2 linked regions of the Callithrix jacchus genome follow. The protein of the gene in region 1 interacts with the protein of each later gene in a biochemical or structural test. Links are inferred from orthologs where the notes say so. Each region holds a gene or a part of one and is shown in the gene's direction. Other genes may lie near its edges.

What was found.
Region 2: the proteins of TDRD3 (region 1) and TOP3B form a complex in vitro, tested with the Homo sapiens proteins (2 studies listed by BioGRID and IntAct, with this or other methods). The link is inferred for Callithrix jacchus from reciprocal best matches to the Homo sapiens genes TDRD3 and TOP3B.

What each region holds. Positions count from the first base shown.
Region 1 is NC_133502.1:55,107,703-55,115,529, reverse strand, and holds part of TDRD3 (tudor domain-containing protein 3), read left to right. Parts: intron 1-4,531; coding exon 4,532-5,382; intron 5,383-7,827. UniProt on the Homo sapiens protein: Scaffolding protein that specifically recognizes and binds dimethylarginine-containing proteins. Plays a role in the regulation of translation of target mRNAs by binding Arg/Gly-rich motifs (GAR) in dimethylarginine-containing proteins.
Region 2 is NC_133502.1:193,909,537-193,917,363, reverse strand, and holds part of TOP3B (DNA topoisomerase 3-beta-1), read left to right. Parts: intron 1-1,785; coding exon 1,786-1,876; intron 1,877-2,759; coding exon 2,760-2,914; intron 2,915-3,046; coding exon 3,047-3,152; intron 3,153-4,181; coding exon 4,182-4,328; intron 4,329-4,480; coding exon 4,481-4,654; intron 4,655-6,624; coding exon 6,625-6,753; intron 6,754-7,295; coding exon 7,296-7,445; intron 7,446-7,795; coding exon 7,796-7,827. UniProt on the Homo sapiens protein: Releases the supercoiling and torsional tension of DNA introduced during the DNA replication and transcription by transiently cleaving and rejoining one strand of the DNA duplex.

The sequences.
Region 1 (7,827 bases):
ATAGACTTGACCTGTGCTGCACATTTGGTATCTAATGTAGTTTAGAGTCATGATGCCACCTCAAAAAGGGTAGAGGAGAACAATCAGATTCTGACTGGGTAACCAAGGAGCTGTCTTCGCAATTGATTTGGAGTATATTCCTTAGTTTATTTAAAATTGCTGAGCATGTTGGCTCACGGTAATCCCAACACTTAGGGAGGCCGAGCTGGGCAGATCACTTGAGGTCAGGAGTTCGAGACCAGCCTGGCCAACATGGTGATACCCCGTCTCTACTAAAAATACAATTAGCTAGGCGTAGTGGCCTGCACCTGTAATCACAGCTACTTGGAAGGCTGAGGCAGAGAATCGCTTGAACCTGCGCAACGAGCCAAGATCTCTCCACTGCACTCCAGCCTGGGTGACAGAGTGAGATTCCATCTCAAAAAAAAAAAAAAAAAAAGGAAAAAATATTGCCTCTCCCACAATTTAGTAATTGAGTATATTTGTTATGTGTTTCATAGATAAGCCCAGTTTGAAAACACTTACTTTATATATGACTTTATGATTTAACTAACCTAAAATGTACTGGGCTTAAGGAAATCCAAGAATGATTGGATGATGAATCCAAGACTGATTAGGAATCCAAGATGACTTCTTAGCTGTTATTTCATTTTGAATGAAATGGATATATATGAAAACTAACTTATTTTGAAAACACAATTTACGGCCGGGAACAGTGGCTCACACCTGTAATCCCAGCACTTTGGGAGGCTGAGGTGGGTGGATCATGAGGTCAGGAGTTCGGGACCAGCCTGGCCAACATGGTAATACCCCGTCTCTACTAAAAATACAAAAATTACCTGGGCGTGGTGGTGGGTGCCTATAATCCCAGCTACTTGGGAGGCAGAGGCAAGAGAATCACTTGAGCCCCCGGGGGAGGCAGAAGTTACAGTGAGCCAAGATCATGCCACTGCACTCCAGCCTGGGCGACAACAAGTTTCCATCTCAAAAAAAAAACAAAAAAACAAAAAAAACTTTTTTTTTTTGAGACGGGGTCTCGCTCTGTCATCCAGGCTAGAGTGTAGTGGTGCCATCTCGACTCACTGCAGCCTCCACCTCCCAGGTTCAAGCAGTTCTCCCCTTCAGCCTCTCAAGTAACTGGAATTACAGGGCCACTCCACCAAGACTGACTAATTTTTGCGTTTTTAGTAGAGTTGGGGTTTCACCATGTTGACCAGGATGGTCTCGAACTTCTGACCTCAGGTGATCCACCGCCTCGGCCTCCCAAAGTGCTGGGATTATGGGGGTGAGCCACCATGCCTGGCCAGGAATTCTTATTTTTAAAAAATAATTTTATTTATAAATTTTACTCTTACTATATTATCTCAGCATAGTAATGGAAATGAGGTATGTTCATTATTAACAAAATTACTTCTTTTATTCTATAGTCTAATGTATATCATCATTAATTCAGTAACTGAAAATAATATCTTAAGTTCTAAATGGAATGATTTTTCCTCTTTACTATCAGAAGTTTCCTAGGCTTGTTTATTTGTTAAATAATAAGCTGTTAGGGAATTTGTCATTCTCTTTTCTGAGATAGTACTTTTGATACAAGACTGCTTGAGTACATAAATGAAAGTGTTAAATGTTAGTAAAAACAATAATAAAAAAAAAATCAGAAGTTCTTTAAGTAATTTGCATCCGGAACAAAATGAAGACATTTTACATTTTCCTATTAATATAGTTCTCCAGGATAGTTCCTTAGATCCATAGTACCCCTTAATTCTGTTTTTTTTCTTAGCATGGTACATCTTCTTTCATCTCTTCACTTTTAAACTATATGTGTGTAGGGAAATACCCCTTAATTCTAAATTGTAGATTAGGAAATTTTTCATATTTTCCTTTTAGAAGAATTGAAATCAAATTCTGCCACACCTGCCAAGCCTGATTGAACTTTCATTCTTTGTACATCGTTATTCAGCCTTCATCTGTAGTCCAGGATACTTATTACTTTCGTGTATCTTAATTTTTTCTGTACCTCCTGATTATCAAAGATATTGGTGGCCCTAACTGGAATAATTTAAGAAAAGTTGATCCCTAAACAGTTACTTATTTAATGTACTATACAAGGACCTTACTTTACCTCTCTCTGATAAGCCTCATAACACCTGTATCATAAAACGACCTAGGGGTCTATTGATAATGTATATAAAGTACTAGTGTGGGCTAACTGAACCTAGCAGATAATCAACCAGTCAACAGGAGGCAACTGCTGCTTTTATTTTCCAATAATGTCTGGGAAAAAAGCCAATACATGCCTTCTGCTGAAAGCACTTGTTTATGTCCTGATTATGGTCACCACTGTTCTTCCCAGAGTCTTTACTCCTGGACAGTAAACAATGCCAGCAGAAACTTAAAGTGACCATTTTTCTTCTCTCTAAAGAAAAATTCAATATTGACTACATTTGTTAAAATATGACATTTACGTTAAGTTTATAAGGCAGATATTCTTGGGGGAAAGTGTTTTTATTTTTATTTTTTTTAAGAAATCTCTTATGGCCTTGGCTAATTTTTGAAATCTTGTATCTTAGGAAAATCTTTATTCTTTGTCATGATTAAGGGGTGGTTTAACTGGATTAATTTTTTTCCTTAGAAAATCTCCTAAAATGTTAAAGATACTTAAACCCTTTTGGCTTCTAGCTTCCATTGGTTCTGTTGAGAAGGGGTTTTTTGGACCATTTGAGTCTCTCTTTTTTTTTTTTTTTTTTGAGACAGAGTTTTTTGCTCTGTCACCCAGGCTGGAGTGCAGTGGCATGGTCTCATCTCACTGCAACCTCCGCCTCCCGGGTTCAAGTGATTATCCTGCCTCAGCTTCCAGAGTAGCTGGGATTACAGGTGTGCACCACCACACCCAGCTAATTTTTGTATTTTTAGTAGGGACAAGGTTTCACCACATTGCCTAGGCTGGTCTCAAACTCCTGGCCTCAAGTGATATACTCACCTCAGCCTCCCAAAGTGCTGGGATTACAGGTGCAAGCTACCATGCCTGGCCTGACCACTTGTGTCTTGATCTTTAATTGGTTACCTGTTTTGTCACTCAGTAACCTTTAAACCTTTATTCCTGTTGTTTTAAACAATTTACCAGATACCTTTTGGCCTCCAGTGGCTGTTTGGAAATGTTTGGGGACAGTTTTGATAGTCAGAGTGCCTGGGGATGCTAGGGGCATTTTGTATCTGTAGGCCAAAGAAGTTAATTTTCTTGCAGTTAATTTCCTTACATCTTTGGAAACAATCTCACCCAAGATATCAGTAGAGGCTCTCTTTGGAAATGTTGTGACCCTGGGGAAATATAAGAATAATTACAGCTGCGTGTTGATTATGATATATGACAACAGAAACAAGACATATGCACCAAAGATCAATGAATATATTTGGTTATAATGTTATAGACATGCAATGTGAAATGATGGAGGAAGAAAGTATAAATTACACTGTACAAATTGAATCAATAAAAATCACTGTGAAATTCAGCCATTAAAATTTTTCTATATATGTTTATCATGTCACTGCTTGTACATTATATGCACTATTATGCTTAGTAATGTTTTGACACCTTTTCAGTATTTCCACTTTTGACACTTTTTTCTGTATTTCCAAATAATACCTACTCTTACTTAATTACTTTAACAGATCTAGAAAATTAACTCTTACTCTTTTTTAGTAGTAGGATATCTGTTTGTAACATAAACACTTAGCAATTCCAGATCCAGAAGGATTTGAAAAGGAACATGTTTGCAAAGGCTAGAACATGATTGATAATAGCTCTATATTTCTAAATTAGAGTGGCATTCAGAAAGAGATGAACAGGGTTGTACTTGTGCAGTTTCATAGTAGTTTTTGAGTTGGCAATTTGTAGTTCTATTTCATTAATTTTGTTTGTTTGTTTGTTTTTGTGACTGAGTCTCTCTATGTTACTCAGGCTGGAGTGCAGTGCGGGATCTTGGCTTATTGCAACCTCTGCCTACTGGGTTCAAGTGATTGTCCTGCCTCAGCCTCCTGAGTAGCTGGAACTACAGGTGCATGCCACCACACCTGGCTAATTTTTTAGTAGAGTCATGGTTTCACCAAGTTGACCAGGATGGTCTCAGTCTCCTGACCTCTGGTGATCCGCCCACCTCGGCCTCCCAAAGTTCTGGGATTACAGGCGTGAGCCACCACACCCGACCTCATTAATGTTTTAGGAAATTATTTACCAGAATAGCATATGTAGGCAGCTGTATTATAAGAATTTGGATTATCCATCACTTTTCTGTGGTCCATTTTACTGCTTTACTTTATTAATATTGCTGACTAAGAAAACTGTACATTAAAAATACAGGACTCCAAGGAGGCAGAGAAGGAGTAAGATAATAAGGAAGGAAAATTGACAAAGATTTTAAAATAGTAGTGTGATAATTTTGTATTAACAGAATAATTTGAAGCATTTAAAAATAATTATTAATGCAGAGTCTTCATGTTAATGTGCATATGGTATACTTTTACCTTTCAGAACCTAAATCACAGCCACAGCAGCTTCATCAGGGACAATACAGATCATCAAATACTGAGCAAAATGGAATAAAAGATACTAATCAACTGAGATTTCTTCCTCGAAATGATACCAGGCAGCCAAGAAATGAAAAACCACCTCGTTTTCAAAGAGACTCCCAAAATTCAAAGTCAGTTTTAGAAGGCAGTGGATTACCTAGAAATAGAGATTCTGAAAGACCAGGTACTTCTTCAGCATCTGAAGTATGGGCCGAAGACAGAATCAAATGTGATAGACCATATTCTAGATATGACAGAACTAAAGATACTTCGTATCCTTTACGTTCTCAGCATAGTGATGGTGCTTTTAAAAAAAGAGATAACTCTATGCAAAGCAGATCAGGAAAAGGTCCCTCCTATGCAGATGCAAAAGAAAATCCACGTCCTCAAGAATCTATAGATTATAATAATCAAAAACGTGGAAAAAGAGAAAACCAAACATCTAATCCTGATCATTTTTATGACAGGAGATCACGAACAATAAATAATGAAGCTTTCAGTGGTCAAAAAATTGAAAAACATTTTAATGTAAATACTGATTATCAGAATCCAGTTCGAAGTAATAGTTTCATCGGTGTTCCAAATGGAGAGGTAGAAATGCCGCTGAAAGGAAGACGAATAGGACCTATTAAGCCAGCAGGACCTATCACAGCTATATCCTATGATGATAAAATGTTTTATAATAGTGGTCCCAAAAGAAGATCTGGGCCAATTAAGCCAGAAAAAATACTAGAATCATCTATTCCTATGGAGTATGCAAAAATGTGGAAACCTGGAGATGAATGTTTTGCACTTTATTGGGAAGACAACAAGGTATGGATACTTTAAAGATATTATACACTAATATTACTAAATGTAACATTCTAGTGGGACTTTATAGAAGCCATCACTTTGGAACTATGAGGTTTTTTTCTACAATTATACTTATTTAAAATCTTCGGACAGATTTATAGCTATATAAAGGATAAACAAAATATTTAATATTTTTATGGATGCTTAGGGACAATCTGTTCCATAACATTTGGTTAAGTTAGGTATGGTTTTAGTTTACATGCCAGAAAACTATTGTAAAAGTAATTATGTGAAGTTGAACTTTATTTTACTTATCATCAGCTTAATTATGCATGTTTGCTTTTCACTCTAGTAAAATTACACTGATTCACATGGAAGAAAATCAGTTGAGTGGCACAAAATGAAATTTTGCAGATTTTCAATTAAAAAAAATTAGACATTCAGCCTACTTTAAAAAAAGTTAATATATAAGTTAATTATTTATCTTATAATAATTTAAAAATTATTAAACCATTAAATATCAAGTGTAAAAATTATTAAACCAATCTTTAGTTCTATATTATGTGCTGGCTAAAAGGGAAAGAGAAAAATTGTAGGGGAAAGAAGGAAGGAAAGATACAAGATGAGGATTTGAGTAAGAGCCTGGCCGAGAGATAGAAGACCAGCACAGTGAGAACAGGAAAGGGAAAAGGACAGAGGGTACATCACAGAGAACGGGCCTTTGCACACTTTTTCCCTTCCGTACAATGTGCTCTTCTGTCAGCTACTCTTCTCATCCTCGAGGGCTTGGCTCAAACATCACCTCCTAGAAGAAGCCTTCGTTGACCTGCCCCATCTTCCTACGTACATTATTCTCTTAATCAATGCCTTAACTTTTTAAAATTTGTCACAATTTTTAAATATTTTTGGGTTTGGTTCTTGAATTGGTATCTGTTTGCACTACCATGATATTAAGTTCTTTGAAGTCTGTACTGTGTCTGGTTTTCCTCTGTAGTCTTGCTCCTTTTACAGTATATGGATTTCATAATTATTTGTTAACTCTGTTAATTAGCTAATTCTGGAGGGGGCACTTATATATGAGAAAAAAGGATGGCGAGGGGATGGAGGTAATAGCAAGGTAATTAAACCATATGTAAGGGAGTTATAGAGTGAATGTCGGGGTGGATGTGAGAAGCAACTCAAAGAGGAAAAATATTCAAAATAAGTATTTTATAGGTTGCAGTTGATATGGTAAGGATATGCCTATAAGAGTGTGTAGCCAAAGGGAATAATGTAAGTAAAAGTAACTGAAGATTTCAAGGAACTGAAATTCATACTAGGGATTTGGGTGGATCCTTTCATAAGGATGCAATGGAATATGGGGTCATGAACCAGGCCTTCTTGTGTTCATTAAATAATGAGGTATAGGCAGAGTATTAGGTGTTGCCTGATGATAGAACAAAGGAGGATACAGCTAGATGGCATATATTTTTAAGGTTTTTGTGTGACTAGAATGATAATTATTTAGAAACAGCATCTCTGTCACATCTTTACTTAAAGCTGGAAGGAAGGGAGGAGACAGGACTGTGTGTCTTGTCTTTTTCTCTGGAAAAGCAAAAGCCTTCCCAGGAATACCAGCAGATTTGGAACTATTTCACATAGCCATTCTCTGGCTATTAGGAAGGTTGAAAAGCAGATGTAGGTGGTCTTCACTAACCAGATTCTTATTCTTCCAACTCAGACCACTTACTTTCTGAAATTCAGGAACTATTTGATTTGAGTAGTAGGAGATTCATTATTTAGCTATTTGTCTTTCATGATGGAAGCAAGAAAAAGTAAAGTAGTTGGAAATCAGTGTTTATTGAGCCAATAGTAGCTGCCTTAGAAAGAACAGTCACTGTGTCAGATGCTTCTGTGAAAGGTTAAGATGAGGACGGAAAAATGTTTTCTATCTTAGATAACATGGGGTTATTGGTGACCTTGACAAGAATAGAAGTAAGAGATTGGGATTCACATTCAAAATGTTTGAAAGGCTTGTTAAGTGACTCAGGCTTTCCATTGAAATCATACAAGGATCATGCCCTGAGTAGTAAGTGCAAAATTAAAACAGACAACCCTTACAAAGTCAAAAGCAACTCTCTGCAGGATCAGGGATATCTTCTTATATTCTCTCTGCCAGTTGAAAATACAATTCTGTTACTGGGAAAAATGACATCTTCTAGAACCTTTCCAGTATTTCATCTGCACAGTGTTTATTAGCATCCTACAAAAAGGTATGAGCCATGGTAAATAAAACAGAATGAATCAATGAATATGAATGATTATCAAAAATAAAATAGAGTAGGCCTACAGATAATTGGATTGAGCAGAGTTCTTTAACAAATATTAATTGAGTATTCAACAAATCATAATTGAGTAGCTGCTAGGTGCTAGGTAATTGAGGTATATTAGATAGTTATGGCTATGCTATACCAAAAGGCCTCCAAA
Region 2 (7,827 bases), about 140 Mb from region 1:
CCCAATGCCACAATGTACTGCGTGGCCACTCCATACCAGGCGCTGTGTACACCTGTGACTTTGTCAGGCCCCTTCCACTCTCCCCTTTTCATGTGACCTATTACTCCCTTGTGGCAGGTCTTCATTTCACACAGAGATTCAAGCTAGCAACTGTAGAAGGACCTGTGTGCATGTTGATGAACTTGCCCAAGGTCACAGCTAGCAGGGGAGAGGCTGGAGATCCCAATTTAATCAGCTTGCATGTTTTTATGGGATTACGTTTCTTACTCAGGGTTTCTATGAATTGAAGGACATGCTGCTTGGTTGTTAGGAAAAGGATGAGGTGACCTGGCTGCACAGGTTGGGGACCCATCTGTGGCTACTGAAGTAAACATGCTACAGGCATGACAGCTACCAGATCCATTGAGACACAGCCTGGCCTCCTTAGCCGCTTTCTCCTTGTCCTTCTTCGACCTTCCTTGAGTGCACTTTTGCCCGCCATGCCATGGCAGCAAAAGGTCTCAGACATCTGAGACTTCTAAAGCTGCTCCAGCCTGTCAGCATTGATCACATTCCTGGAGAGACACTGTCGCCGCCTCCCGCCCTTACTTCAGGGAGCCCAGACTCCCTGCTGCATAACAGCTGATCTCCATGTTAGCACCCACATCTGTCAGTCAGGAATGCAGAAGGCACTGCCCTGACCAGCCTACGTGGGTTTGGCAAGGGCAAGGAGTTGAGTTGTTTGGATTGTTCTTGCCGTAGGCAAAACAAAGAGGTGTCTCTTTGAACAAATGCTCAGCAGAGGTAGACAGTGGTGGGACCCCAGTCAAGCACAGCTCACGGGTGCACTTCACTGCCTATGAGGTATTTACAGAAATGCCAGAGCAGTTACCAGTACTTAAAAATTAGGAGATTTCACACGAAAATTCTACCTTCTAGCTTCTCTTGAAAAATCAGAAGAGGTAGCAGTACTACCAGGCACAGGCAGCAGCCCTCCCCACAGCAAGGAGCAGCACTGTCCTGGGACGGGCCCCACTTGCCCTCCCTGTAGCCTGGCTGATGCTGGCTTCTGTAGGATTTCCATCTGCAGCTCTTCTGACTCCTCCTCAGTCTTCCAGGTTTTCTATTCCCCTAGAAAATTCTCAGAAAAGAATATTCAATCACTTGAGGCCAGGAGTTTGAGACCAGCCTGGAACACAGGAAGACCCTGTCTCAAAAAAAAAAAAAAATTTTTTTAAAGTAGCTGGACATGGTGGCACATGCCTGTAATCCTAGCACTTTGAGAAGCTGAGGTGAGAGGATCACTTGAGGCCAAGAGTTTAAGACTAGCCTGGGCAACATAACAAGATACTGTCTGTACAAGAAATTGAAAAAATAAAAAATTGGTCAGGTATGATGGTGTGTTCCTGTGGTTTCAGCTATTCAGGAGGCTGAGGCAGGAAGATCACTTGACCCAGGAGTTCAAGGCTGATGGTACCTGAGGGTAAGCTCTGACGGTACCGCTGCACTCCAGCCTGGGCAATAGACACTCCAGCCTGTCTCTTAAAAAATTCTTTTTTAAAGAAAATTTTTATTCTTTTACCCTTCCTGGTCCTGGTCCTGAATAAATATTCAATCAAGTCTTTAAACTGTTGAGAAGAAATGAATTGGAGAAGCAGGGAGACCAAATGAATGAGACCAGACCCTTTGTCCACACTTCTTTATTTTTTTTTAAGAGAATTCCTAAGCTCATTATCCACACATCTTGATTTCATCTATGGTGGTATCTTCCTCCTCCCCCAAATCACTGACTATCCTGTCTTCCAGGTGGAGGCCACAAGCAGGAAAGAAAAGGCCAAGCAGAGGCCTCTGGCCCTGAACACTGTGGAGATGTTGCGTGTAGCCAGCTCTTCTCTGGGTAAGTAGGGACATTTCTCTAAATTTAGTCTCCAGAAGGCTTCCTAAGGCAGGCTTGTAGAAGCAGGTTCAGCCTGGAGCAGTGAGTGCCCAAGGAGGCAAGGTGGTGCCTGAGGTTTCAAGATCTGAGCCTCGTGAGGATTTCACTCCTTAGGTTGTAAAGGTGTTAAAGTTGGTCACCCCCTGAGGGGACATCCTGATGTTAGAGTCCCTGAGCAGCTATGTCACCTTCTGGGAACTAGTGTGAACGTCGCCTATCAGCCTGGTCTCCTTTCAGCCTTGTCTCCGCAGTAGTTAGGAGGGGGTTGGGCTGGAAAGCTGGTGGTCTCTGGAAGCTGTCAGCCCCTAGGCATTGGTGCCCCCCTGCAGGGAACTATTGGCAGTGTCCTCTCAGAGTGGTGGCATCAGAGGGCAGCAATGCTGGGAGTGGTTGCTAGCTAAGTGCCAGCCTCTGCTGGCCAGGAAATAACAAGGCGAGCCCCCCTCAGTGGCCCCAGAGTGCCATGAGGACAGAAATACCCAAGGGCTCAAAATGGGCTATGTGCTAACTCTGCCGTCAGCCAACCCGAGGCATGGTTATGGCTCCGTGGCCAGTGCGTAGGGAGCAGTGCTCTGAAGGCCATGTCTTATCCCCATGGCCACGAGTCCTGAGTGAGCAGCGTTTCCCATCAGGCCCCTCCTGGACCCACTCTCACAGGTGCAGGATTCAACCTCAGACAAGGCTGTGTGGCATAGGTGCCCACCTGGCCAGCAGCTCTGCACTCTAGCCATGCCTGTCCAGAGCCACCCTTACCCTCCAGGAGGGGCTGGCCACCTTGCGGGGAGCCTGAGTACACAGATCAGGGTAGGCACCTGACCCTCTGAGAGCCTCCTGTCTCTCACAGGCATGGGACCACAGCACGCCATGCAGACAGCCGAGCGGCTCTACACACAAGGCTACATCAGCTACCCACGTACAGAGACCACCCACTACCCTGAGAACTTTGACCTGAAGGGTGCTCTGCGGCAGCAGGCCAACCACCCCTACTGGGCTGACATGGTGAGTTGAGCCAGGCCGGCCCCCACATGTGTATGTGTCACTGAGGCCTTAGGACCAGGTCTGGTACTTGAGCCAAACCCAGGCAGGCAGCCGAGCCCAGCCACAGACTCTGCTCTGTCTTCTCTCCCTCAGGTAAAGCGGTTGTTAGCAGAAGGTATCAACCGCCCACGGAAAGGCCACGATGCCGGCGACCATCCCCCCATCACCCCCATGAGGTCTGCCACAGAAGCTGAATTAGGTACCCCTCTCACCCCATACCTGCCATGCTTCCAGGGAGGGAAAGGCAAGCTTCGACAGTGAAGGTTGCAGGCCCTGCTGGCAATGTGGGGCTCCTTCAGCCCCTGCCTGCCCTGGCTGGGGCAAGGGGGGAGTCACCTGGAAAATGAGCTTCATTACTGTGGGAACAGGCCAGGAATGAAGAGGTGGCAGCAGGTGCAGGTGGCTGTTGCAGGGAGGCACGGGGGCAGACGATACAGGGGACATAAATGAAACCAAGGCAGAGAGTGGCAGGTTTCAGCGGTGGGGTGTAGGGGGTGCCTCCTACCTCCCAGCTGGCCTGAGGTGGTACCAGTGGTCCAAGTGCCAGGAGAAGGCAGATGAGGAAGGGAGAGCAGTGCAGGTAGAGACAGGGGCCACTTGTGGACAGTCTGAATTTGAAGTGATGGTGTCATGTCACGAGACAGTAGAAGGATAGGCCCACACCTGAAGAATAGTCCTGCCAGAAGCAGGGGCAAGAGGTTGTGCAGGGTGGGAGGAGCTGCAGCCATGAAGGAACCACTGAGGCACAGAGGTTTGTGTTCCCTTCCTCCACATTTTCTTCTTTTTTTGAGACAGAGTCTTGCTCTGTCACCCAGGCTGGAGTGCAGTGGCCTGATCTCAGCTCACTGCAACCTATGTCTCCCAAGTTCAAGGAGTTCTCCTGCCTCAGCCTCCTGAGTAGCTGGGATTACAGGTGCCTACCATCACACCCGGCTAATTTCTTTGTATTTTTAGTAGAGACAGGATTTCACCATGTTGGCCACGCTGGTCTCAAACTCCTGACTTCAAGTAGGAGTTTGCCTTAGCCTCCCAAAGTGCTGGGATTACAGGTGTGAGCCACCGCGTCCAGCCTTCCTGCACATTTTCTTTCCTGCTTCCCTGAATTTGCAGTGTGTCCCACACAGTGGCCCTGGAAGCAGGACCTTGCTGCTCAAGCAAGAGTGCTAGGGGCTCCTCACGATCAGAGCCTTCAGCTGGCTCCCAGCTAACTAGCCCTGGCCTGTTGCAGGGGGTGACGCATGGCGGCTCTACGAATACATCACCAGACATTTCATCGCCACAGTCAGCCATGACTGCAAGTACCTGCAGAGCACCATCTCCTTCAGGATTGGGCCAGAGCTCTTCACCTGCTCTGGGAAGACCGTCCTCTCACCAGGTCACACTGCGGGCCCAGCTTTCCTCCTCCCCACCTTCATGGGCAGACAAAAAAAAACCATTCTACATTGTGTCTGGGAATGGGAGGCCCAGGGTCTGAGACCCAGGCCCCTCAAGGCTGGGGACCCTGAGTGGTGGCACCTGTCTTTCCAGGCTTCACGGAGATTATGCCCTGGCAGAGCGTGCCCCTGGAGGAGAGCCTGCCCACCTGCCAGCGGGGTGACACCTTCACTGTGAGTGAGGTAAAGATGCTGGAGAAGCAGACGAGCCCACCCGACTACCTGACGGAGGCTGAGCTCATCACGCTCATGGAGAAGCACGGCATCGGTGGGTATGCCTGCCCAGGCCCCAGAGCCAGCTCTGTCTCCAGCACTCAGGCTGAGAGTCTACTCACAAAGCTGCCCAGCCACCCCTATGTGCCTAGCCCAGCACCCATCCATGGACTGGTATCTGGAAACTGATGACCCCACATGTGGCCAGCCTTGCAGGTCCACAGCAGGCATCCCCTCCCGAGGCCTCCACTCAGAACCTGGCCTTCTCTGTGAAGGCCCAGATGTGCCCTCGTGCACTGTGGGGTGGGCACACACTGACTAATGCCCACAGTGCTGACGATTGGCCCAGATGCCAAATGGCTCATAGAAATCATTTTGGCAGTCTCCTCAGTCCACACAGCCAGCCTGGTCTGTCCTGAAGTCACATGACAGGGAAATGAGCTCTCACAGGAACTGCTTCCCTGGCGGAGGGAACAGAAATGCCTGTCCAAGGGACAGGGCTCCCCAAAGGGTGACCAAGAAGTTTCTAACCAAGAATGGGCAGCCCAGGGGAGTTTATCAAAGCAAAAATGTAGTCACCAGTGCACACTCCTCACAGGAGAGGTGGCCTCACAAGTCCTCAGGCCTAGGGCTGAGTGAGGTCTCATATGTTGGGGGCCAGCCTCATTGACAGAACCTTCTCCCAGGTGGCACTCGCACTGCTGGGCACTGCCTGTTGCCTGTGGCTTCATCTCCAGCTGTGCCTGGCTGATGGGTTCCAGAGGCCTGTGGGATGTCACAGCCACTGTGTCCAGGCTCTGCTCCAGCAGTGGTCATAGAGGTGGACTCTCAGGGAGTGTCTCTCCCCAGGCTAGGGTCCTGGTGACTGTGGCAACCTTGGCAGGAGAGCAGAGCTCTGGGCTTGCTCCTCCCAGAGGTCCAGGGCACCTGCCAAGGTCCTGAAATAGCAGCCCTCAGCCCACTGTGGAGTGTGGGCTGTGCTCCCCCTGCGTCTTCTGCTCTCTCCCACTGATGGGTTACTGTGGCTCCTGGCAGCCCTATGGTATCCAGTGAGCAAGACCCAATCACCAATACAAGTTTGTGACAGTGAAGAGGGCTCTGGTGTTACCTTCTGAACAGGAGAATGGTCTGAGCCTGTGACTGAGCCCCCAGGAGTGTGTAAAAGGGGCCTAACCAGGAGCCGCCACCCAGGTCTGGGGTGAGAATACAGCGGGCAGGGCACATGCTGCAGAGGAGCCCATACCACACATCATGGCACCTGGCAGACTCACATGGTGGCAGCACATACTACCCACAGCCTGCCACACCAGGTGCCGAGCTTCGACAGGCTCCTTAGCCCCTGGAGGCCAGTTTCTTCCCATGTGATATTCTCTGCAAGCTGCTTTGGGAAGGTGTATGTCACCTGCCCATGCTGGTGAGAGTGCAGGGAGCCTAAGCTTCTTTTCTGCCCCTCTGACTGGCACCCACCATAGTCAGAATGCCTCAGCCTCTGCTGCGCCCCTCTGCCAGGAAGGCTCTGGGTGGGAGAGAGGAATCCTGGGGACTGGGAGCCTGCCCTGTGTACCGTGACAGGCCTTGCAGAGAGGGAGGAGATGGGAGACAGGAAGTGTCTTTGCAGTGAGCTTGTAAGCACCTCCATGTTCTGGTAGAGGGGGCTCTGGCTCCAGGACCAGGTGGGTGCCACAGGATCCAGGCAGGAGAAGCCAAAGAAGTCACGTTTACCAGGCACAGAATAAGCACTGTGACCTTGGAGAGTTCCTTAACCTCCGAGCCTCTACCATAAAGCAGGAGTAGACCCCGTGCAGAGAGGGCTGCCCTTGTGTTCTCAAGGCAGAACATGAAAGGCATGCAGTTGATGCCCAGCACAGTGCAGTGGGTGCTCAGAGCACAGCCCTCCCTCCTGTGGGTGGCCAGGAGCCGTGAGAGAGCCTGAGCACCAGGGGCCCTGTGGCAGTGGCTACAGCATGTAGTTCAGTGAGGCGTGTCCAGGGTAGGCCAGGAACCCTGGGGCCTTGTACGTTGCAGGCACAGATGCCAGCATCCCTGTGCATATCAACAACATCTGCCAGCGCAACTATGTCACCGTGGAGAGCGGGCGCCGGCTCAAACCCACCAACCTCGGCATTGTCCTGGTGCACGGCTACTACAAGATTGGTGAGTCCCTCGGCCCTGCCCCCAGGGTTCACCGGGAATTCCTAGCTTCTCCCTGGGCATTGGCTCTGCCGCCCCCTCCAGACAGGCCCTGCCCTGGAGTGATCCCCCAGCCCCACATGCACTCCCTCAACACCACTGAAGGGGCGCTTCCCCAGGACCCCCAGGACCTGCCCAGAGCAGGAGCTGGGTGTGTTTGAAAGCTGAATGGACATGTGTGAGGGAACCAAAAGAGGAGGCGAAGGTGCCTCAGCTCTATCCTCTGGAGGTTCCCCAGAGGCCAAGGGGAGAGGGAGGAGCACAGAACTGGCCCAAGGGCAGCCTGGAGCTCATCTGTGATGTGGTTCTAGCCACCGGGCACTCTGCCTGAGATTTCCGGGTGAGAAGTCAGGAAAGGTCTGGGGGTATAGGAGCCAGCCTGGTACCATCTGAGGCTGTGGACTGGCGGACAGGGCAGAGGCCAGGAGGACGGGCCGGAGCAGGAGGGGTGGGCAGGCTCTGGGCATGAGTGCTCAGGGAAGTATCTGCCCCCTGCCCACTTGCAGATGCAGAGCTAGTGCTCCCCACCATCCGAAGTGCAGTGGAGAAGCAGCTGAACCTGATCGCCCAGGGCAAGGCCGACTACCGCCAGGTCCTGGGCCACACCCTGGACGTGTTCAAGAGGAAGTTCCACTACTTTGTCGACTCCATTGCAGGTAGAGTCTGCCTCTGGCCTGCCCCTCATCAGAGGACCCTCTGTCAGCACAGCCAACACCTGGGGACCCCGGTCCCCACATAAGACCAGCTCCCAGATCTGGGCTCCAGGCCTCTGTAGGTCAGGGTAGTGACACCACCTGGCTTGGTTAAAAGAGCAGGTGCATTTGCACCACACATGGCCAAGAGCATGTGCTCTGATGTACGGAGCTGCTGCCCTGCCGTTCTGCCATGGACAGTAGAAACCAGCACCTGCAGGGACCCTCTCACACTCAAACCCTTGACCACGTATGGTGGCGCCTTCTGCCAGAGACTATGAGAGAGGTGACTTCTGCACTCTGCTTGCCCGCAGGCATGGATGAGTTAATGGAGGTGTCTTTCTCA